Linked DNA regions of Danio rerio. The protein of the gene in region 4 purifies or fractionates together with the protein of the main gene of each other region. This does not show direct contact. Links are inferred from orthologs where the notes say so. Each region holds a gene or a part of one and is shown on either strand. Other genes may lie near its edges.

What was found.
Region 1: the proteins of pfdn6 (region 4) and vbp1 purify together in Homo sapiens (affinity purification with mass spectrometry; 6 studies listed by BioGRID and IntAct, counting the BioPlex papers as one, with this or other methods). This does not show direct contact. The link is inferred for Danio rerio from reciprocal best matches to the Homo sapiens genes PFDN6 and VBP1.
Region 2: the proteins of pfdn6 (region 4) and pfdn1 purify together in Homo sapiens (affinity purification with mass spectrometry; 6 studies listed by BioGRID and IntAct, with this or other methods). This does not show direct contact. The link is inferred for Danio rerio from reciprocal best matches to the Homo sapiens genes PFDN6 and PFDN1.
Region 3: the proteins of pfdn6 (region 4) and pfdn4 purify together in Homo sapiens (affinity purification with mass spectrometry; 6 studies listed by BioGRID and IntAct, counting the BioPlex papers as one, with this or other methods). This does not show direct contact. The link is inferred for Danio rerio from reciprocal best matches to the Homo sapiens genes PFDN6 and PFDN4.

The regions. Positions count from the first base shown.
Region 1 is NC_133182.1:23,875,258-23,880,835, reverse strand, and holds the start of vbp1 (prefoldin subunit 3), read left to right. Parts: upstream 1-2,002; 5' UTR 2,003-2,026; coding exon 2,027-2,107; intron 2,108-2,370; coding exon 2,371-2,495; intron 2,496-2,922; coding exon 2,923-2,989; intron 2,990-3,717; coding exon 3,718-3,816; intron 3,817-5,578. UniProt on the Homo sapiens protein: Binds specifically to cytosolic chaperonin (c-CPN) and transfers target proteins to it. Binds to nascent polypeptide chain and promotes folding in an environment in which there are many competing pathways for nonnative proteins.
Region 2 is NC_133196.1:32,811,016-32,816,662, forward strand, and holds the start of pfdn1 (prefoldin subunit 1), read right to left. Parts: upstream 3,629-5,647; 5' UTR 3,616-3,628; coding exon 3,583-3,615; intron 682-3,582; coding exon 515-681; intron 436-514; coding exon 351-435; intron 1-350. UniProt on the Homo sapiens protein: Binds specifically to cytosolic chaperonin (c-CPN) and transfers target proteins to it. Binds to nascent polypeptide chain and promotes folding in an environment in which there are many competing pathways for nonnative proteins.
Region 3 is NC_133198.1:41,416,265-41,420,924, forward strand, and holds the end of pfdn4 (prefoldin subunit 4), read right to left. Parts: exon of another isoform or gene 4,286-4,660; intron 1,896-4,285; exon of another isoform or gene 1,662-1,895; coding exon 1,530-1,661; 3' UTR 974-1,529; downstream 1-973. UniProt on the Homo sapiens protein: Binds specifically to cytosolic chaperonin (c-CPN) and transfers target proteins to it. Binds to nascent polypeptide chain and promotes folding in an environment in which there are many competing pathways for nonnative proteins.
Region 4 is NC_133189.1:35,059,231-35,064,894, reverse strand, and holds the start of pfdn6 (prefoldin subunit 6), read left to right. Parts: upstream 1-1,839; 5' UTR 1,840-1,875; coding exon 1,876-1,939; intron 1,940-5,042; coding exon 5,043-5,113; intron 5,114-5,664. UniProt on the Homo sapiens protein: Binds specifically to cytosolic chaperonin (c-CPN) and transfers target proteins to it. Binds to nascent polypeptide chain and promotes folding in an environment in which there are many competing pathways for nonnative proteins.

The DNA.
Region 1 (5,578 bases), on a different chromosome or scaffold from region 4:
AGCCGAAAAGAAAATGAATGAATAAATAATAATAATAATAATATCAATAATAAAAGTAATCATATTATTATTACTATTATTATTATTAATGTAGAGCTTCACAATTTCTTCAAAAATCTTCTCTTGTAAAAGGTACATTCGAAAATTTATGAATAACAACATAAGCCAAAATAGTATTCAAATCAATTTCAATATGTTTAGCTTTTGTTTCTTCACACATTTTATTGCTAATTTTTGTTTCAAGAATAAGATCCAAGATTTAGAATAAAAAAATGTTCTCCATTTAAAAACAAATGCAGTAGTGAAAGATGACTTCTCTTACAGCAGATTGTAAAATGAACATTTTTGTTAGCGTTGACCAAAACGGATTACACACCGAATTGGCAACAGAGCCAACAGAGGATTCCGTTTGGTCTTAAGTTTTTTTTATATGGGTTATTTTCACTATTTATGATGACATAGCAGTCAAAATAGGACAACCGAGCTCATGTATGGGGTCAATACTAGACCTCTGTCAGAGAGGGGTGGGTCTTCTGAACCACCTGCACCCCCCATGGCTACAGGCCTGACATAGTTTGCCACTTTACCTTATTCTGTTATCCGAAGAGGAAAAATGAAAAAACATATGCTGAATAGGTTGGCGGTTCATTCCACTGTGGCGACCCCTAATTAATAAAAGGACTAAGCCAAAAATGAACGAATGAACATTGGAGTATTCTTTTGACTTGTTTTTTAAAAAAATAACACACACACACACACACACACATAAACACAAACCAAAGTATATGCTGCACATTTCAGTATTCACATATTTTGTTTTACTGTAAGAAACTGAAAATTACCAATAAAAATATGAATTATTATCTTTTTAAAATAAGCTGGTTTCACCCTCTATTCTAAAGAGGGTGGAATGTGCTTCTGTTTAATTAATCTGCATGTATTTTGGCTAGTTTCCACATTCTTTAATGCAATTTACCCTAAATATACTGCATTTTTGACTTAGGCTCATTCATTCACTGACTAATTTTCTTAGCTTAGTCCTTAAATCCATCAGTGGTCACCACAGCAGAATGAACAGCCAACTTATCCAGCATATAATTCACACAGCGGATGCCCTTCCAGCTGCAACCCAGTAGGCAACTGGGAAACATCCATACACATTCATTCACACACATACACTACGGCCAATTTAGTTTATTCAATTCACTTAGCACATGTCTTTGGACTGTTTGGGGGAAACCGGAGCACCCGGAGGAAACCCACACAAACACAGGCAGAACATGCAAACTCCACACAGAAATCCCAGCCGGAATTTCGAACCAGTGACCTTCTTGCTCTTAGACAACAGTGCTAACCACTGAGCCACCGTGTCGCCCTTGCCTTAATCTGTTTTATATTTGTTTCTCTTCTGCTTTTATTTACAATCATTTTTAAATATGAATTATAATGTGACACTGTATGTGTGATATAAGTGCATATATAGGCCTATTTAATAAAACACATCTAATAAGGTGCTATTCTTGCCCTGCTACTTACTTTCACCTAAAGATCCACATGCAGACAAAGAAAGCCTGTACTGAAGCTGACAGTAACATTAGTAAGCAGAACAGACAGACTCAATAATAATATTATGAAAAATCAAACTGAAGACTAAGAGCCAATGTATTTATCTGTTTTTTCATATCACCGCAAATGTATTGGATCAAACCTCTGGCTTGCCACCAACTGCTGTCGTCACGGCCAGCGCCTCGTGCTATTTCTCATGTCAATCAGGCAACACTGACATCTGCCGGTCGGTTTGATAAATGTCGGATATTATTAAAAAACATACGTTAACAAAGACAGATGGACTACATTTGAATTTAAATATGATATAAAAAGAAATTAATGACAAAATGGCCAGATGAAATCATCACCTGCTCATTGTTATAAGAAGAAGAAAGTCACTTTTATTATGCACGCGGCGCCCGTGCGTAAGAACAGCGTGCGCGTGCGTCAAAGAGGAAGAGTCGTAAGTCTCTCCAAAATGGCGACGACCATAGAAAGTGGCAATGCAGGAGCTGCAAATAAGAAAAAACACCTCGGAATCCCTGAAGCAATATTTGTGGTCAGTGCGAAAGGGATATATAGTTAATTTTCATGTCCATGCTGTCGACATGTTTCTGTCTGTGTTGGTTTGTTCGTCTTTAAACGGCTTTAAGTAAGAAAGCGCCTTGTTCTTCTCCTTATAAGGGTGCAGGGATTGCTTGCTCATGTCTTGAATGTGAGCTTTGAGTGACAGAGAACATGTGAATAACTGGCTCTCAAAAACCGCTTTGTTAATTATAAGCCTTAATTAACCAGATGTGAAACACATTGTGTGTTCTGTAGGAAGATGTGGACGCCTTCATGAAGCAGCCGGGCAATGACACAGCAGACGCCGTGCTGAGGAAGCTGGATGAACAATATCAGAAATATAAATACATGGAGCTCAATCTGGGGCAGAAGAAACTCAGGTTTGGTTTTGATCTGTTCTACGTTGTGCTGTAAAAAGAAGTCAATCTTTCAGTCACAAATTACAATAAGATTTCATTGGGTAATGTATTTACTGACACAACCAATGATTAACAACACTTGCACAGCATTTATTGATCATAGTTCTACATAAATGTACTAATGCATCAATAACATCCAAATTTATGCTTAATATTAGTTAATGTATCGTGAGTTAACATGAACTAACAATGAACAACTGTATTTTCATGAACTACTGTTAACGAACATCTAATACTGTCATAAATGTATGTTTCATTGTTTGTTTATGTTAGTATATGCATTAACTAATAAAACCTTACTGTAAAGTGCTCTGGATAGCATGCGTATATGTGGCTACAAGTTGTTTTTGCAGACTATAATTGTTGACATTTTTTCCCTCTGTTTCAGGTTGAAAAGCCAAATTCCACAAATCAAACAGACATTAGAAATCCTACGGCACATGCAGAAAAAGAAGGTAAGCTCATTTCTTAATTAATGGTGATTTAAAAAGAAAATTTGTCTCAAAATTGCTTCACAGAAACAAATCAAAGTTCAGTCTAAAATTACTTAAAATGATTTCTCAAAGTTATTTACTGCTTTTAGGATTTCTTTCATGTACTCCTTGTGAGAAGTATATATATATATATATATATATATATATATATATATATATATATTTATATATATACTTTTTTTAATAAATGTATATAAATATTTTTTTTGTAGTGTGTTGCAGAAGAGCAGTCACATATTAGATCACGTGTCATAATTGTGTCTTTAACATACACATAAATGTGTCTATTCATCATAAACTGGCCTGTCAATCAGCCTGTCATTTAAAGTCAGTCTTTTTCTCTATACATGTTATAGATCTTTTTGTGCTCTTTTGCTTCTAGGGCTGTGTAATTGAGGGGAAAAATGAACATTTCAATATTTTATTTTTCATCTTTGTAAACAAATGATCTTAATACAATAAATCATATAAGCATAATTAAGGTGATTTTGTTTTTTAATATTATAATATTAACAGAGGTTTTTTAATATTATAATCAAAAACAAATTATTACAATACAGTAAGATAGTTATGAAATTCGCCCTAAAATTACATTTTAAATGATAAATTTTTGAGATGCAGCAAGTGTATTGTTCTGCTTCACCAGAATTCCTCTTTATTTATTTTTATTTATGCATATCAAATCAAAGGACACCACAGATCCCATGGAGACACATTTTCTGTTGGCTGATAACGTCTACTGCAAGGCCTCTGTTCCACCTACAGATAAAGTGTGCTTGTGGCTTGGGGTAAGTGTTGAATGTTGAGTCCTGATGCATTTGATGTGAGCATGAAATCAAAATAATTATTATCTATCAAGATAATTATCTTTTAATTTAATGGTTTATTATAAGACCAAGTGTGGTACTGATTTTTGTTTTTTTACTACCCTGTGTCACTGCATTACATTATGAGCTGTGAAATCCTTGTTGTGTTGACTAAAACAACTGCTTTAAAAAGCATGTGTGAAAGTGTTGACGATCATTGCCTTTGTTTTGCTCTTTTGTACTGCTTATGAACTCATGAAACCTCTTCATCACTTGTAGCGTACCGGGTTCCCACATGTCTTAAAATTACTAGAATTTTATAATGTTTATTCCAGATATTGTCAGTAGGGATGTAACGATATTAAAACCGACCCGAAATATCACAATACACCAACCACGATACGTATCTTGAAACTCGTGGCATACCGCGATATTCTTATGCCCCCTGCTGCCCATTGTTGAGGTTGACATCACTTGTCTCTAACTAATTGAACCAATTTAAACATATTTATCACATTTGATTAAATTGTTTTAGTAATGATGAGCTTTTGTTTTAAATATTATATTCTTAAGTTAGTATTTTCCAAGTGCATGTCATGTGATGTGACTTAAGAAAGCATCACACTCAGTTACTACTGTATGCAGGATGGCTGCTTCACACAGTACTGAGATTCCAGATCCCCCAGACACATTTAAGTCATCTGTGTGGGAACATTTTGGTTTTCCAGTGGAGTACTGGAATGGAATTTGTGTCGTAGACAAAGCACACGTCTATCTATCGTAACTGTTTCACAACTTACACAAAACCTCACAATGTGAGGGTGTAAGCAACAGAACTGCCAACTAAAGTGATTTAATCTACAAAAGTGAAACCAGAAAAATGCCCAAATATATACAAAAAAGAGAAATATTTACACTAATAAAAATAATATAATAAAGTAGCAAATTCAAACAAAGGATCAAACAAAAATGAGTTAAACTTGAGTAAGGGGACAATTGTGAAGCCAAGCAAAAGAAAGAAATATAACAAAACAATTTTAACTCATGAATAACCGCTCTTAACTTGCTAAAACTGATGAAAAGATAAAAAGGTCTTCAGCGCAGTGCGCCGCAGTCTTCCCTATACTGTACTGTAAAATAAAATAAATACAAAGATGATCTTTACCTCTTACCTGATGTCTTTAACAATACATTTTCAACGTGTTTGCAAAATGGAAATCGTATGACATCTTCCCTATCCACCTTACTCTGAGAAAAGAGTGAACTTGAGTAGGTAAACCTCAGTATTGTTGGGAAGGAGCCAAGGCAAAAAATAACATACAAATCAATTGAAATAAAAATATAAAAACCTCACAAAATTTCTCAACGTGGGCAAAAGTAATGCAAAATAATTTTGCCCAAACGAAAGTTAAGCAAAAACAACAAAAATCATAATCGTGTCAGAAAATGCACGAAAAACGAGATCAAAGGAAAAAGCGCTTTCTCTCCCGCTCTTCCCGACATGCTTTTTATATTCCCGCGCTTTGTCGCCAAATGATGATAGATCGGTCTCCTGACCAATCAGCTGTCATAAAGGCGGACCTACAGAAATAACCAGCATGGAGGGAGCAGGAGAGAGAAAACGGGAGGCAAAAATACAGCCGACTACAACTCTAACATTAGTTTCAGACACAACTGCAATGTATTTTACTGGTGAATATATCATGTAAAAACACTTTACAAACACATTTTATGTATATATTTT
Region 2 (5,647 bases), on a different chromosome or scaffold from region 4:
TCATGGATAAGCAACCGACAAATCTGCAGCAACTGTATAATGCTATCATGTCAGTATATAAACCAAAACCTCTGAGAAATTTTCCAGTATCTTGTTGAATCTATGCCCTGGAGGATTAAAGCAGTTCTGAAGGCAAAAGGGGTTCCAACCCGATAGTTGTAAGGTGTACCTTATAAAGTGGCCGCCGAGTGTATATCTTATTTAATTATGACTTTCATAGATTTTTTTTAACAGCAAGTAAAAAATGTTAAAATAAGGTGACCTATCCTTTGTATTTTGATAAGCAGTTCTTTGTCGGACAAGTAGATTTAATATAAGCAACTATATTTGTTTTTTTGCTCATAACCTACCTCAAGCTCTTTTATCTTGTCATCTGCCGTCTTCTGCTTTTCCAAAAGCTGATTAGAGATCTCACCTTTTGACTGCAAAATAAACCTGAATAAAGGAAGGAAGAGAAGGTCAAAACAACAGAGAGTAAAGGGTCCAGATTTGAAACCTCCAGAATTATACATACATCCGTCCTGCTCCCTCAAACATCCGAGTGCTTTCAGGAAGTGATGTAATCTCTCCATGCGTGAGATTTGCGTGCTTCTTTACACGACTCAGCTGTTCGATCTGCAGGTCTGCCAGCTTCACCTTCTGCTGAGTGTCAACCATTTTCGCCTGCAGCTCTGCAAAAGCCTGCAAAGATGCCGAGATTGAGGTTTTGATTAGAAGGAAATCCGCTGTGATATGATGCAAATACAAAGTTGAAGTCAGAATTATTAGCCCCCCTTTGATTTTTTTTCTTTTTTAAATATTTTCCAAATGATGTTTAACAGAGCAAGAACATTTTTACAGCATCTTTGATAATATTTTTATCTTCTGGAAAAAGTGTTATTTGTTTTATTTCGGCTAGAATAAAAGCAGTTTTTAAATTTTAAATGTCACTTTAAGCTGTATAGTAGTGTCTTAAAAAATATCTAGTAATATATTATTTACTGTCATCATGGCAGAGATAAAATAAATCCGTTATTAGAAATGATCTATTAAAACTTTTATGCTTAATTGGGGGAAAAAATTAACAGGGGGGCTAATAATTCTGACTTCAACTGTAAATTTACAATAAAATTTTATTCATTTTTTTCCCTGAATTTGCATAAAATAGCAAAAAACGTGCATACATGTTTATATTCTGTTTTAGAAAACACGTCGCTTCTGATGAGTTAAAAAAAAATCTAAATTTGGCGGAAATGACATTGATTTTTGTTTTCTGAATGAAATACAGGGTTCTGCAGGTTTCACAAAATTAAATTTAGGACATTTTAAGACATTTTTAAGACCATTATGAATGCAATTTTAGACTTATACAGAACTTAATGCTGAGGATTTTTTATATCCAAGTTAGAAAAGATTTTCACTTGCTAGATAAAAAAAATATTAACATTGAATACAGGAAATATTATGTTTCAATATTTTTTTTATAAATTTTCAAAAATATTCATCTACAAACCCAATAATCAGGGCCAGACAGAATCTGCTGACATTTTTGCTATTTCTGCTGAGAAATTTGTAAAATAAAAAAATAAAAAAATAAAACAGCTGATTTTTGTGGAATGATTATGGTTATAGCGTCATAACTAAAAACTTAATACATGAAATAAAAGCAACAGCTTTTTAGCTCTTATGTTTACAATGCAAATCCAACTAGATCCACGTATTTAGTAAACAAAGCAAGTTTCTCATAATACATCCACTAAAAGACAGAAAATATTACTCTAAAAACTGAATTGTAAATACATCATATGAACATTTTAATATTACTATTGTTATATCACAATAATATTATTGAAAACAATTTAAAACTGAATAAATATAATTTTATACACATTTATACAAGTAAATAAATAGACTCAATGATGGGCTAAAAGTCTGCGGAAATTTGCATGCGCAGATTCCGTGTGGGCCTTCCTATAACCCTTACCAAGAATAGAACAAAGCATAGCTGTCAATTACTTCCGTCTACAATAATAATATTTTAATAATACAAAATGTAGGTCAGGTCAGCAACCACAGCGGTATATAAAGTGGAGTACTTTTTAACAAATGTTACTGTGAGAAAAGTAATTAAATGCTATTTTTAAATAAAACGTTAAAAGTTTTATTGAGATTGGGATTGTTGGTGATTGTTGAGTGTTAATGGCCAGATTGGGTAGTTATTCATGAACATAGGAAAATTAAGACCTGCTAAAAAATATTTAAGACCTACAACACAATATTTTAGTAAATCTAATACTTTTTAAGGCCTAAAATTTTGTTTTTGAGATTTAAGACATTTTAAGACTTTTTAAGACCCCACAGATATCCTGGAAATAACACAGATTTTGTTTCTATTTATAAAAGCTTTATATTTATAATTTGTATGTGTCATCAAATGAGTAATTGTGATTATTGCATTGCAAAATGAATGCAAATAAAATATCTTATGTATATATTAATATATTAATACACATTCATTTAAAAAAAAATGTTTATTTATAATTATCTATCATTAATGTTTGCATATAATACTAATTATACATAAATATAACTGTATTTTTATAATAATAAATCATCTATAGATATAATAAAAAATATTATTTTGTATGTTACTAATTACGATTAAACATTTGACAGCTCTTTTTGACAGCACAATAATAACATTTTTTTCACATTCATATGTAATACAGCAAATTCAGCATTTCCTATAGCTGTAACTGTTATATTTAAACAATTTATATGTTGTTATATGTTGTTGCAGTTGGTAGGGCATTCGTTATGTAAAACATGTGCTGGATAAGTTGGCGATTCGTTCCACTGTGGCGACCCCTGATGAATAAAGAGAAGCCGAAGTAAAATGAATGAATGAATGAATTAGTTGTGACAAATTTGGTGCCACTAATAAATCTTTCCCAGGTTTTCAACATAAATTCTAGAACAAAAATAAGACACTTAGAAAGTCACAACATATAATCTATAAATATATATAAAATATACATAAATATAGACATCACTAAATATTTTGTAAATAAAAAATATTATTTTGCATGTGACTAATTATGATTAAACATTTGACAGCTCTTTTTGACAGCACAATAATAAATTTTTTATCAAATTCATATGTAATACAGCAAATCCAGCATTTCCTATAGCTGTAACAGTTATATTTCAACAAATTATGTCATATATATATATATATATATATATATATATATATATATATATATATATATGGATAAGCAAAAACTAAAGAATAAGCCATATTGAAAGCTTCCTATAGCATGTAATGATGTGTTGATAGATTGATATGTGTTTGGATATTCATTTCTAAAGGATTTACAGTGGTAAACTATAAATATGACGTTGCACATCTTTATAACAAACAATACACATTAAAAGGATTCGCATGCACCTACGTTACACACTGACAGATCGCGTTGCTTAAACAGTTTTATACCTTACTTCTGCTCCACAAAAGCTTAATAACATTTATTCAGTATTTTATCATAACAAAGTAACAACTCTGTTTGGTTTTTAGATATAAAACCAAAAACCACCCTTTACCTTCTTCAACTCGAGGTCTACGGGAGCCGCCATGATGCTAAGTGGTACGAGTCCCTGCGCATGCGCGAAACAAAGAGCTTGTTGCAAAACCTAGTGAGCGGCCTACATAGACAACATTTTCAATGTCAGACAGGCAGGCAATCCACAATAAATGTTCACTAAAAAGGCAGCTCGGTAGTTTTGCAGACACGGTAAGTTTGTGGACTACTTTCAATCTCAAAACAGTGCAACAGAAATGACAGTATATGATAAAGGTTTCAGCGTTATACCAATGTTAGCGTCAAAATGTTTAGAAGCTGACTCTTAATTTAAGCGGACTTTAAGCGGACTTATTTTTAGTGTCTATTATTGTGTGCTACATGTAAAATGTGTCACCCCAGTGGCAACATTGCTCAAGATTTTTTTATTACTATTAACGTGTTGTTTTGTATTGTAAAGTCGTGTATGTTCTGCATTTTAACTCCTGTTAACACTCTGTTTGGTTTCCTCAGGAGACAAATGATGGTAAACCAACTTGAGACTTAAATCTCCAAGCTAAAGACAAGTATATCAGATGTAGTAATGACAACACAATATTTTTATAACTTCACACAGTGAGTGTTTAAACTTTACAACATACATCTGTATATCTGCAGATTTATATCCGACACACTAAAATTTTATAAATAAAAAATAGTAAATCTAAATAATAAAAATAGTTTTATTATTGGTTGTGGGACGACACGGTGGCTTAGTGGATAGCACTGTCTTCTCACAGCAAGAAGATCTCTGGTTCGAGTCCCAGCTGGGTCAGTGGGCAATTCTTTGGAGTTTGCATGTTCTCTCCATGTTGGCGTGGGTTTCCTCAGGGTGCGCCGGTTTCCCCCACAGTTCAAAGACATGCAGTGAATTGAATAAACTAAATTGGTACTGTATGTGTGTGAATTTAATGAGTGTTTATGTATCTTGTCCAGTACTGGGTTGCAGTTATTAGGGCATTTGTTGTGTAAAACATGTGCTGGTTAGTGATTCATTCCACTGGGGCAAACCCCTGATAAATAAAGAGACTAAGCCGAAGTAAAATGAATGAATTAATTAGTTGTGACAAATACGGTGCCACTTATGAATCTTTCCCAGGTTTTCAACAAAAATAAGAGACACTTAGAAAGTCACAATAGTTTATTAAACAGCAGAAATTTGTTACCATTGCTTGAAATTAGTACATGAAATCATGTAATTTATACTAAACGCATAAAACAAACACACTAATAAACGTATTCCATTTTATTTCACTTAATTTAAGCTACACTTTCTCAGTAATACATATAAAAAAGGCTTAAGCCCTGCGTCTGACATTCCTGCAGAGTACATTTATTTGATTGCATTCGCAAATGTTTAATTCACAGTTTAGCTAAAATATTATTCAAACCGTACTGTCCTCCGAATGCGATTGTAAAGTTTGCGATGCAACTTCAGTCCTATTAGAACATTAATTGATTGTATTCATCGATAATAAATATCTATACAATAAAAACACATTTACAAAACTCGCAGTGCATTCAGTACACACAATTGTTACGTATCAAAATAAATAACAAATACATTATAAATAAATAATTACAAGTGCTTTGTGGCGTTTTTGACAGTACTACAGATTCAGACTGATGGGAGAAACCAGAAACTCAGCTTTTCAACATAAATAAATAAGCAACGAACAAAAAAGCAACTTTGATTGAAGTCGCGATACATTCATCATTTTCAGTCCTGTCTGCATGATCTCCATGACAGTACTGTACATGTACTGCACACGGGGCAGTGTTTAAAGCATCCTTCATGCCAGTTTAGACAGACACCAATACTGCAGGACATCAGGGGCGCACAACAAATACGAAGAGGTGCAAAGATTGTGGAGAAATAATGATTACCACTAGGAATAATGCAGAAATCATGCCCTTGATGAGATGTATAGTGCTGTCTATCCATGGGTCACATGACCTTTTGGCTTTCTTTATCCTGAAAAACATTTATTAAAAATGTATATATAAATGTTTGGAATTTTCATTTATTTTAATAAAAGCAAGATATT
Region 3 (4,660 bases), on a different chromosome or scaffold from region 4:
AAAAAAAAAAATTTAGTTTTGAACAGATAAGAGACTGATTGATAAGGTCATTTTAATTTTGATGTGAACTATCCCTTCTCATATTAATGTGGCGATGTCATTGGCCCATGAACATTTCCGGCTTGTTATCAAACTATTTCAGAACTGTAAAGTAAGGCAACTCAATCATACCATAATGTTAAAACAGCTATCATAATATTATTTATTAATATGTGTCTCTTTTTGGATTATCAGAAGCTTTAGAAATGAAAAATGTAAAACAGGAAATACATTGGGACCATTGTTTTTGTTTACACCCCTCATTGTTTACAATAGTAAATTAAAGGATTAATCGCCACCTCTGAAAATGTAAACTTAAAAAATAAATTCTTAGACATTTATTTTATGAGGTCTTTTTAACTTTATTTATTTATTTGCTTTATTAGCTAAATCAAGTAGGATTAGAACCTGCAACCAGTGCTTAATTTGAGCCGGATCCTGTTCCGGAAAATTCCCTTCCAGTAATATTTTGAGTCATCCGGCATTAACATGTGCTTAGTGAATACCTGCATCTGTGTGTGTGAGAGATTGTGAATGAGTGCCAGTGAAAAACACAAAGCAACGCTGTGTGGATTGTGTACACCCACACACATAAAGGTCGTCACCAAGCCAAAGTTAAAGCAGAAGGCATGTTTTACTATTGGCCCTCAACAATATTTTTGACCAGTCAGCTTTCTTGCATTTACAGTCACTCTCATTGGTTGATGATTACTGTTTTAAAAATAAATAATGGGATAGTGGCCTACCTAAATTATATTTGTATTTTCAAAATGGCAAAGAGGAAGTATGTTTTTAAAACAGTAAATCTAATAATGAGCCTGATTAAAAAAAGATCTCTGGAAGATGGAACTGCATCCCTGGATCAGGATAGCGGGAGACAGAAGCAAAGCAATCAAGTCAGGCAAAAAACAGGATGGAAGAGGTAACCGTGGGCTGTTCTTGAAGATTAGACGGTGAGTATTTTAATTTTTTTTTCCACTTGTCACATAATAGTGAAGTGAAATGAAAGTCAGTGGTATTAGTAAACTGATCACCATTGGTGCTATCACCGTTTAGTGATGTCATGTTCCTGGAAACCTGAAATTGTGGTGGGTGCCGGTCACAGTAACTTTTATATCCTGGTATTGTTCTGGAAATTGTTCATTTACAAATTAAGCACTGCATGCATCCTTTGCTATTTGCTCAAAACACTATAACTGTGCCAACAAGAAACATTCACCTCAATACTGAACCCAAATTGAAGGAACTCATAAAAAAAAATGTTTCTTCTTTTTTTTATTTTGACATCAGTGCCTTTCAATTCTCTCATTCTGGACATTTCATTCGTCCCCCAAAAACCACCTGGATGCAACACCTCAAGAACTTGATTAAACGTAACAAGATGTGAAACTGAACAGACATCACTGGAGTAAACCGGACAAGATTTGTAGAAATGTCCTGTCCTGTTAGAGATGGACAGTCTATGAGGTCAAGTCCACCAGCTAAAGGTTTCAGCTCTCGTCCGCCTCTAAGTTGATGTTGTTTCCAAACTTGGCGTATAATTGAACCTTTAAATCTCCCAGGACCCCCTGTATGGATGAGACGCGACCTTCCAGAGCCTTGATCTCTTCCTGCAGAGCTTCCTGTGGATAACAGGAGATCAGCAAACAGGGTTCAAAGCAGACATTGGGCTAGTATAAATTGAAAAAAGAATTGTTTCTGCAAAGCAAAGACAAGTAGAGGCCATTTATCTGGAAACTTGTTTATTTACTTATCCGGAAAGTATTCATAGCGCTTCACTTTTTCCACATTTTTTATGTTACAGCCTAGAGCTGCACAATTAATCGAAAAAAGATTGTGAAAAAAGATTCGACCCCCTAGACCAGTGGTTCTCAAACTTTTTTCACCAAGTACCACCTTAGAAAAAAATCGTCTCTCCAAGTACCACCTTACGACGCTATTTTTTTAACCAGTATTAAAAAATAGCGTCGTAGGCCTAATTAAGCAGCTACAGGTGTGCACAGTTTAAAAACGATGCAGATTACTTCCTATTATTAAGAATATGTATTATTGTCAGTCACTTTAAACATTTTAAATAGTCTGAACATTAACTGTGCTTGCAGATAAAAAAAAAGTTTTAGTTAAAATGTGCTTTTAAAAATTCATTAAAAAATGGCGCTGTTCTTAAAAAGTAAAAAGAAAACTGCTGTACTTAAATCTGAAGTATTCATAGTAGCCTATTCATCAAAAGCTGGAAATGCTGCTTGGACCTTATAAATATAGGCTATATGTCATATTGCTACACTTTCAGACAAATCTTGAAATATATGTTAAATGTATATGACAGGGTTCATACAGGCACAGCCTAATGAAAATGAATTCCAGAACCTTCTTTTTTTTCAAGACTGACATGCTATGTATTGAAGACCTGAAATGTATTCTGTATGCAACCCATAAAATATTGCATAGGAATAGATACAAATAAAAAACATTAAAAATAATATTTATTAATCATATATTAATAATATAATAAACCTGCACTAAATGCTTGTGAAATCTTTTTTGTACTCAAGTAAAAATACTATTGCACTGCTAAAATAACAACATTTTTAGTAAATAATGCTAATATTTGGTAAAAGTACAAAGTACTCTTTTAAAAAGTACTAGTTGGTTACTTTTGAATAAAAAATCAGATTTTCATTATGAAATCACTTTTTTTAAGTGTAAACCTGATTTAATGGTTTGATTGCTTAAATCCCAAAGCTACGTGTATAGGAATATGCACTAACAAAGGAAGTATGGTCGATTTTTCCTTTCATGACAATTAATCTTTTTCAATAGCACTGGTAAAACTACCAAATAATCTTTAAGGCCATAGAGACACTTTTTGCCCATTTTTTAAAAAATATATTTTTAAGCTTTGAAAGGTTAAAGTATATGGTAAAAAGATTTTTATTTAGCCTTTTATTTACATATTTTACACTATTTTTCTTTACAATATGGCAAATTTGTTTCTTCAATAGCTGTACATCACATGTAGATTTTATTTTACACTTGATCTTAATCTAAAATAGAAACGTAAAAAAAATACAAGTACACTGTCAGTAAAAAATAAAACAAATGACTTTATTTTACTTGAGGTATTTGAAATGTGACAACAATACATTTATCAAAGCAGTGCTTTAAGAGTCTTATTGTAAATTTTGATAAATAAACAATAAGTAACAATGGATTGCTTTGATCTGTAATGCTTTAGGACAGATCAGAATACAGCTAAATGTATAAATCACACATATACCTCATCCAGAAACATTTCCAGCATAATTCTTTTGTCGTAAAGAAACAAAAAAGCTCCACCTTTGCTAAAGTTTCACTTGACAACACAGCCAAATAAGAAGACCATTAGCATTGTTATCGATCATGCATCAATCTATTTCTAAATACTTCATAACTTTAAATACTTTTGACTAAATTTAGTCAAGGAGCAAAGATAAATAATGTCTACTTTAATAGTGGAAAGATCGCGATTGTATTCAATCTGAGCACACAGGCGATCATGAGAGGACTTGCAGTTCATTTGAAAAAAAGCCTATTTAAGAGCTCGCATATCTGTTTTAGTGATTTGCGTACATGAATGGGCTCTCGTGTTAAAATAAAGCACTCGCCACGTTTGCAGAAATAAGTAATTGCGCAATACCTCCATTCCCGCGCCGCCATTCAGAATGTATTTAGAGGAGTGACAGGTCAGAGGCGAGTCGACTGGCTGTCGGAGAGCGAAACGTGTTTGTTGATCATCAAAAAGGCAGGAAATATGTCCGCGGTTTAATTACTCTGCTAGACATATCTATAGTGAAAACATCCGAGAAGCATTATTCCAACAAAACATTTGTTTTTAAGTAGTTTTTTCTGTCTCTGCAACACAGAAAGCATTTGTCCCGCCCTTACGTTTCACGCAACTAGACAAGGTCGACTGTGATTGGCTACTTTTCATGTCAGTCAAATCACGCTTCAGAATCTATTCTTAAACTTCGGAAACTGATTTATAGCAGCTTATGACACAATGCACTAAAATAAACACTCTAAGCACAGCGCTGTGATCGTACACTTCACAAAACAGCCAATGCTGATCACATCGATGTTATATTACACATTTGAGGATTAAAAGTGTTAATTGTTTCTTTCATTATTCAGCGATTCCTCCGCGTACCACTAGGAGGAAGCCCGCGTACCACTAGTGGTACGCGTACCACAGTTTGAGAACCACTGCCCTAGACGATCTTAATCCTACGATTCTGCCAATCATGTTTTCAAGTTCAGGAGAGAAGCAAAGGCGGCTGTACGAGTCTTTTCATTGTTACACACACGTTGCTCAGCGACATGGACACCTCCAAATGATGTTAAAAGAGTCACATACTGTATATATAAGGTATAATTCACCTAATAATGTCATTTTTGTCTTCATATAATGCTGTAATCGGGCCAGGAAATCACACGTGACGTGAGCTGCTGACTGTGCGGGGGCACACGCCCTACTTAATGATAGACGCGTGCGCGTCTACTTTAGTGAACAGAATATGCTTTTGCTGTGAGTAACAGGTAATAAAGTTGTAAATAATATTCAGCTTGTGGCACAGAGTGATCG
Region 4 (5,664 bases):
TACAAATCATTTTAAGTTACTAGATTTTGACTGACAATTCATAAACACAAAATTCATAATTTTCATTGGCCTGCCACATATTGGATGTACTGAGGGTCCTTTAAATTGATAGGGTTGTAAATAAAGCTTAATAAAACAAATCAAATAAACTTAAGGCACTTTTCCCTCAACATACAGCATAAGGTCCAGAATAATGTCCAGATAAGCACCTGTCAGTCATAATAGCATTTATCTTTGTTATAAATGCTTATTATAACAACATCAATAATGAGCTGTTCAGATTTATGAAAAAATGATGATAAAAGTTATAAAATTTCTATGTAAACATAAGACTTTAATAAGAAATTTCTGAAAAACATCACACAGTTTACTAACATAGAACATCCCAAGTGTATCCAATCTCTAGCCGTGTTTATACTAGGTTCCTACTAGTATTCACAACAAATAAAATTAACCCCACCAGAAACATTGGTGTGTCGACACAAACTACTGTGTCGCTCCCACAAGTAACAAGCATAATCAAAACAACTGAGATTAAAGTGTCCAAAAAAAGTGATTTCTTCAACTAAAATTGCAGGTTCAGAGGACTAATCATCATACAAATGTTTTATATGAATTTTACAAAGTGACAACCTCTGTCATAACTCTAAAACCATGAACACATTTCATAATACACATTCAACTCACAGCAAAGATATCAGGTTCATTATAGAAAAAAGCAAAAATAGCCACACTCAAAATGACTGCCTGACAAAACAATAGAATTTATGAATTATTTATGTTTTATTCTATTATTTCATTCCTGCCCTTATGAAATTGAACCAAGGGAAGTGTGTGTGTGCGCGTGTTTTGACAGACATATTATTAGTGTAACTAACGTTACAGGTTTACCACAGATACTATGGTTAAATGGTGGTTAATGGTTGTTTGTTTGTTTGTCATCTTAGAAAATTTGATTTTTTTATTGAAAAAAATAAAAAAAGTTTTGAAGAATCACAAGAAGAAGAATAACGTTACTAGCAAATATCGATAAAGTTAAAACATCATGACATCTATTACGAAAATTAACCATGGTTTTACCACAAAAACTAACCATGGTAACCTCAAATCAACATGGTTTTGTTACACTAACCCCAGCTAAACTGTAGTACTTTCAGTAATACTGTGGTTATAAATAACAATCGATACGACAAAAAAAGTATGATTACACTTAACTCTTTAAACCATGGTTCATTCTCGTAATAGATGAATATAGCACATGATACTATTTTACCCTACATATGTTTAAAACGCTGCTTAAGGTGCAGATTTAGAACAGTCATTACATTTGCTTGTGTTATAGAAAAAATATATAACTGACTTTACCTGCTGTTGTGATTCTATGTGGTCGCGCACACCCGAAAAAAGACCTTCACGTTAGAATTTGAACCATGCGCGCTGCCATATTGCCTTGACTGTCACTACAGAGGGCTTGGAGGAAGAGGATAGACTGACACCACATGGACAGGAGAGGCACTACGCTTTTAGATACTGGAAAAATTGTACCCATCGTATTAATCCAAAAATCACATTAACTGATGCGTTAAATCTACATATGGTGCGTAAAATTATAGAGCAAATTATTTAAAGGTGTGTGAATAAACATAATACTGAAAAAAATTGTGTATGTTTTTCTTAAACACTAGATGGCGAAGTAACTCTTTTTATCAGCTATCGTAAAACCCCCATGTGACGCAATGATATGACGTCATTTCCCGTGCGCCTCAGACTGTGTGCTTGAGTAGTGTGCTGCTGACTGTCTGCATTTGTCATAAAATATCGTGATTTTTATTATTTAGCAATAATAATAAGTCAGACATTGGAATAGCAGGTGTGATGGCTGAAGCGATTCAGAAGAAATTGCAAGCTGAGTTGGAGAAATATCAACAACTCCAGAAAGGTAACTTACAGCACGAAAAGCTCAGAGTTAGCAATCCAACACTCCCTGCATGGGCATCTTTATATTGAGGCAAAGTTGGTTTTATATTCGCACATTCGTTCAGTGACAATGTGTGGCATGCTCCCTATATTGTTTACCATGGTACTTTGAATATTCGGTCTGAAATCACATGTAAATAAGACTACATTAACGTTATCACTATTTATTTGACTGAATAATGGTGTAATTTGATAGCCATCGTCTGCTAATATGGTTTCACTATTTAGGATTTGCTAACTACAGAATACTTTTCGGAATTTTTAATAGGAGAAAGTCTGAATGTGTAAATATAAAACCAACTTTACCTCATTGTGTAAATTGGCTTTCTCTCTAAAAATCTTATTAAAGTATTTTTGTCAATTCTAAATGGTAAAATCATATTAGCAGCCATTGACTATCAAAATCACCATGGTAAACAATGTAGGGATGTCACAAGTTTTCACTGAACGAATGTGCGAATATAAAACCAACTTTACCTCAATCATCTTTATGTTCGGCTCCTTTAATAATTTATATTTAACGTATTTGTAGTAATTTGTTGTATTCAGGTTTAATATCTATGTAGTGCAATGCACTGATAAAGTACAAATGTCACGGTTATGTTGTATTTGGACTTGATTTAGCTACCCAGAGCTATTTTAGACAAAATCCACATTCAATCTACAAATTCTCATTATTGAACGTTTTAAAAAGGCTTTTACTATTTTATTTTATTTTATGATTCATTGTGTAAGTTTCTTGGTATTTATAGTAACACCATTATGAATATTCATATAGCCAAGTTATACCAGTGTACACTTGCACATTTCCTGCAACATATCTTTGAATAAATAAAAAGTTTTAACTAAATTAGAATAAATATAATTAATTTGAGATTTTATAAATCATGATTGTTCAAAAAACATATACCAAATAATGCATATATATATGTATGTATGTATATATGTATGTATGTATGTGTGTGTATATATGTATGTGTGTGCTCCTTTAATAATTTATATTTAACGTATTTGTAGTAATTTGTTGTATTCAGGTTTAATATCTATGTAGTGCAATGCACTGATAAAGTACAAATGTCACGGTTATGTTGTATTTGGACTTGATTTAGCTACCCAGAGCTATTTTAGACAAAATCCACATTCAATCTACAAATTCTCATTATTGAACGTTTTAAAAAGGCTTTTACTATTTTATTTTATTTTATGATTCATTGTGTAAGTTTCTTGGTATTTATAGTAACACCATTATGAATATTCATATAGCCAAGTTATACCAGTGTACACTTGCACATTTCCTGCAACATATCTTTGAATAAATAAAAAGTTTTAACTAAATTAGAATAAATATAATTAATTTGAGATTTTATAAATCATGATTGTTCAAAAAACATATACCAAATAATGCATATATATATGTATGTATGTATATATGTATGTATGTATATATGTATGTATGTATGTGTGTGTGTATGTATATATATATATATATATATATATATATATATATATATATATATATATATATATATATATACATACATGCATGCATGCATGCATGCATGCATGCATACATACATACATACATATACATACATATACACACATTTCAAAACATGAATTCCCAGAGAAGCTACCAACCACAGAGTCATGGGAGCAGAAAAAATCAATCTGTAAATTTTTAAAAAATTAAATACATTTTAAATAAATAAATAAACATGTGTTATGGATGTGACGAAAAAAGTCTGCGAGTTTACAGTATACAACATACTTTGATGTTGATGTTGATGTTGTTTTTATTTAATTTAGTGATAATATATATATATATATATATATATATATATATATATATATATATATATATATATATATATATATATATTAAATATATATAAATAAAATAACATTAAATATAAACATTTCCCCGAGATGGGTTGCGGCTGGAAGGGCATCTGCTGCGTAAAAACTTGCTGGGTAAGTTGGCGGTTCATTCCGCTGTGGCGACCCTGGATGAATAAAGGGACTAAGCCCACAAGAAAATGAATGAAATAAAAACAATATCAACCTTTAAAACTTTCAGTAATGATAAATCATTCATCATTTTTTTCGGCTTAGTCCCTTTATTAATTTGGGGTTGCCATAGCGGAATGAACCGCTAACTTATCCAGCACGTTTTACACAGCGAATGCCCTTCTATCTGTAACCCATCACTAGTAAACTATACACAATCATTCACACACATACATTACAAACAATTTAGCTCACCCAGTTCACCTACTGACCCAGCCGAGGCTTGAATCAGCGACTTTCTTGCTGTGAGGCGACTGCGCTGCCCACTGCGCCACCATGCTGCCCAGTAATGATAATACTGTAGCTTATTATAAGCTTTAGATTTTAAATTAAAAATAGATTTTATTGATAATAGAAAATATGTAATTGCTTTGATTTTAATGTCTCATGATTGCTCAAATATTTTAAAATTAAAATATTTAATGAAAGGCAAAATTATAATATTACTACATATTATAAAACAGACCAGTGTATTGTACTTGTGTAAACTTTCACTTTAATGTGTTTGATTTCTTTTTAAAATAACAGACATATCATGTATTCATATTTTTCAGAAAACATTATCCAAAAAGTGTGAGATATAGTGTAAAAATGAAACATATTCTAATCTATCATGGTTTAGCTTTTAACATGAAGATATCTTTATATTGTATTAAAATATTAGAAGGGTATTTGTTGACATTTAATGGTTTGTGACACATGTAGTTATATTTCATAAAATGTTATAAATAAGTGTGATGTCTATTTTGAAACTCTAATAATGCTAAATATAATTTAAAAAATGTTTTGTTCCCTTCCATTACTAAAAACATAGCAATTTCTTATATACATGTTATTTTTAAATTATAAAAATATAGCTTTTTTAAAAACCTTTTTTAAATGTTATTATTCTGTAATGTCATCGTTTATATAAAATGTGTTGGCTGGCATAATTTCTTAGCACTGATTTCTGTAGAGTAGCGATTAGAGACTAAATTTAATGCCATTTTATTTCACAGATGTCAGTAAAAGTATGTCAGCAAGACAGAAACTGGAGGCACAGTTGACTGAAAATAACATTGTAAAGGAGGTAAGTTTAAGAGTGTTCTATATCTTTTATGGTACATTTCAGTTAGTATATGGTTAGATTTTAAAAAATGCTGGGTTCCACACAATTGCTTCATGTTGTCCCAAATCGAACGGATTAAGTTAACTTAAATGTTTTTACAAACTGAAGTGCATTGAACATAAAACAATTAAGTTGTCGCTAAAAAAACACAAGAGTTGTGTTGTTTCAGCTAATTTTACAAGTGGTTTGAACAAGTAGCAAAAATCCTTTTTTGAGTGTATGATCAAATCTATACAGGGCTGCACAATATTGGAAAAATCTGATATTGCAATCTTTTATTTTTCTGTGATAAATATTCAATAGTTATACAATATTTAAATTTATGTATAGTTTCACTAGATAATTTGAATAGCCCTATTTTCTATTAGTTTTATAGGGAGTTAAACAATATTCAGGAACAGAAATTCAGTAATCACAATACAAAAAAATATATATATATATTTTTCTTGTCTCGTTTCTTGTCCAAATATCTAAAAAATCTTGTAGATCAAGTAAAAAATATTCTTATGAAA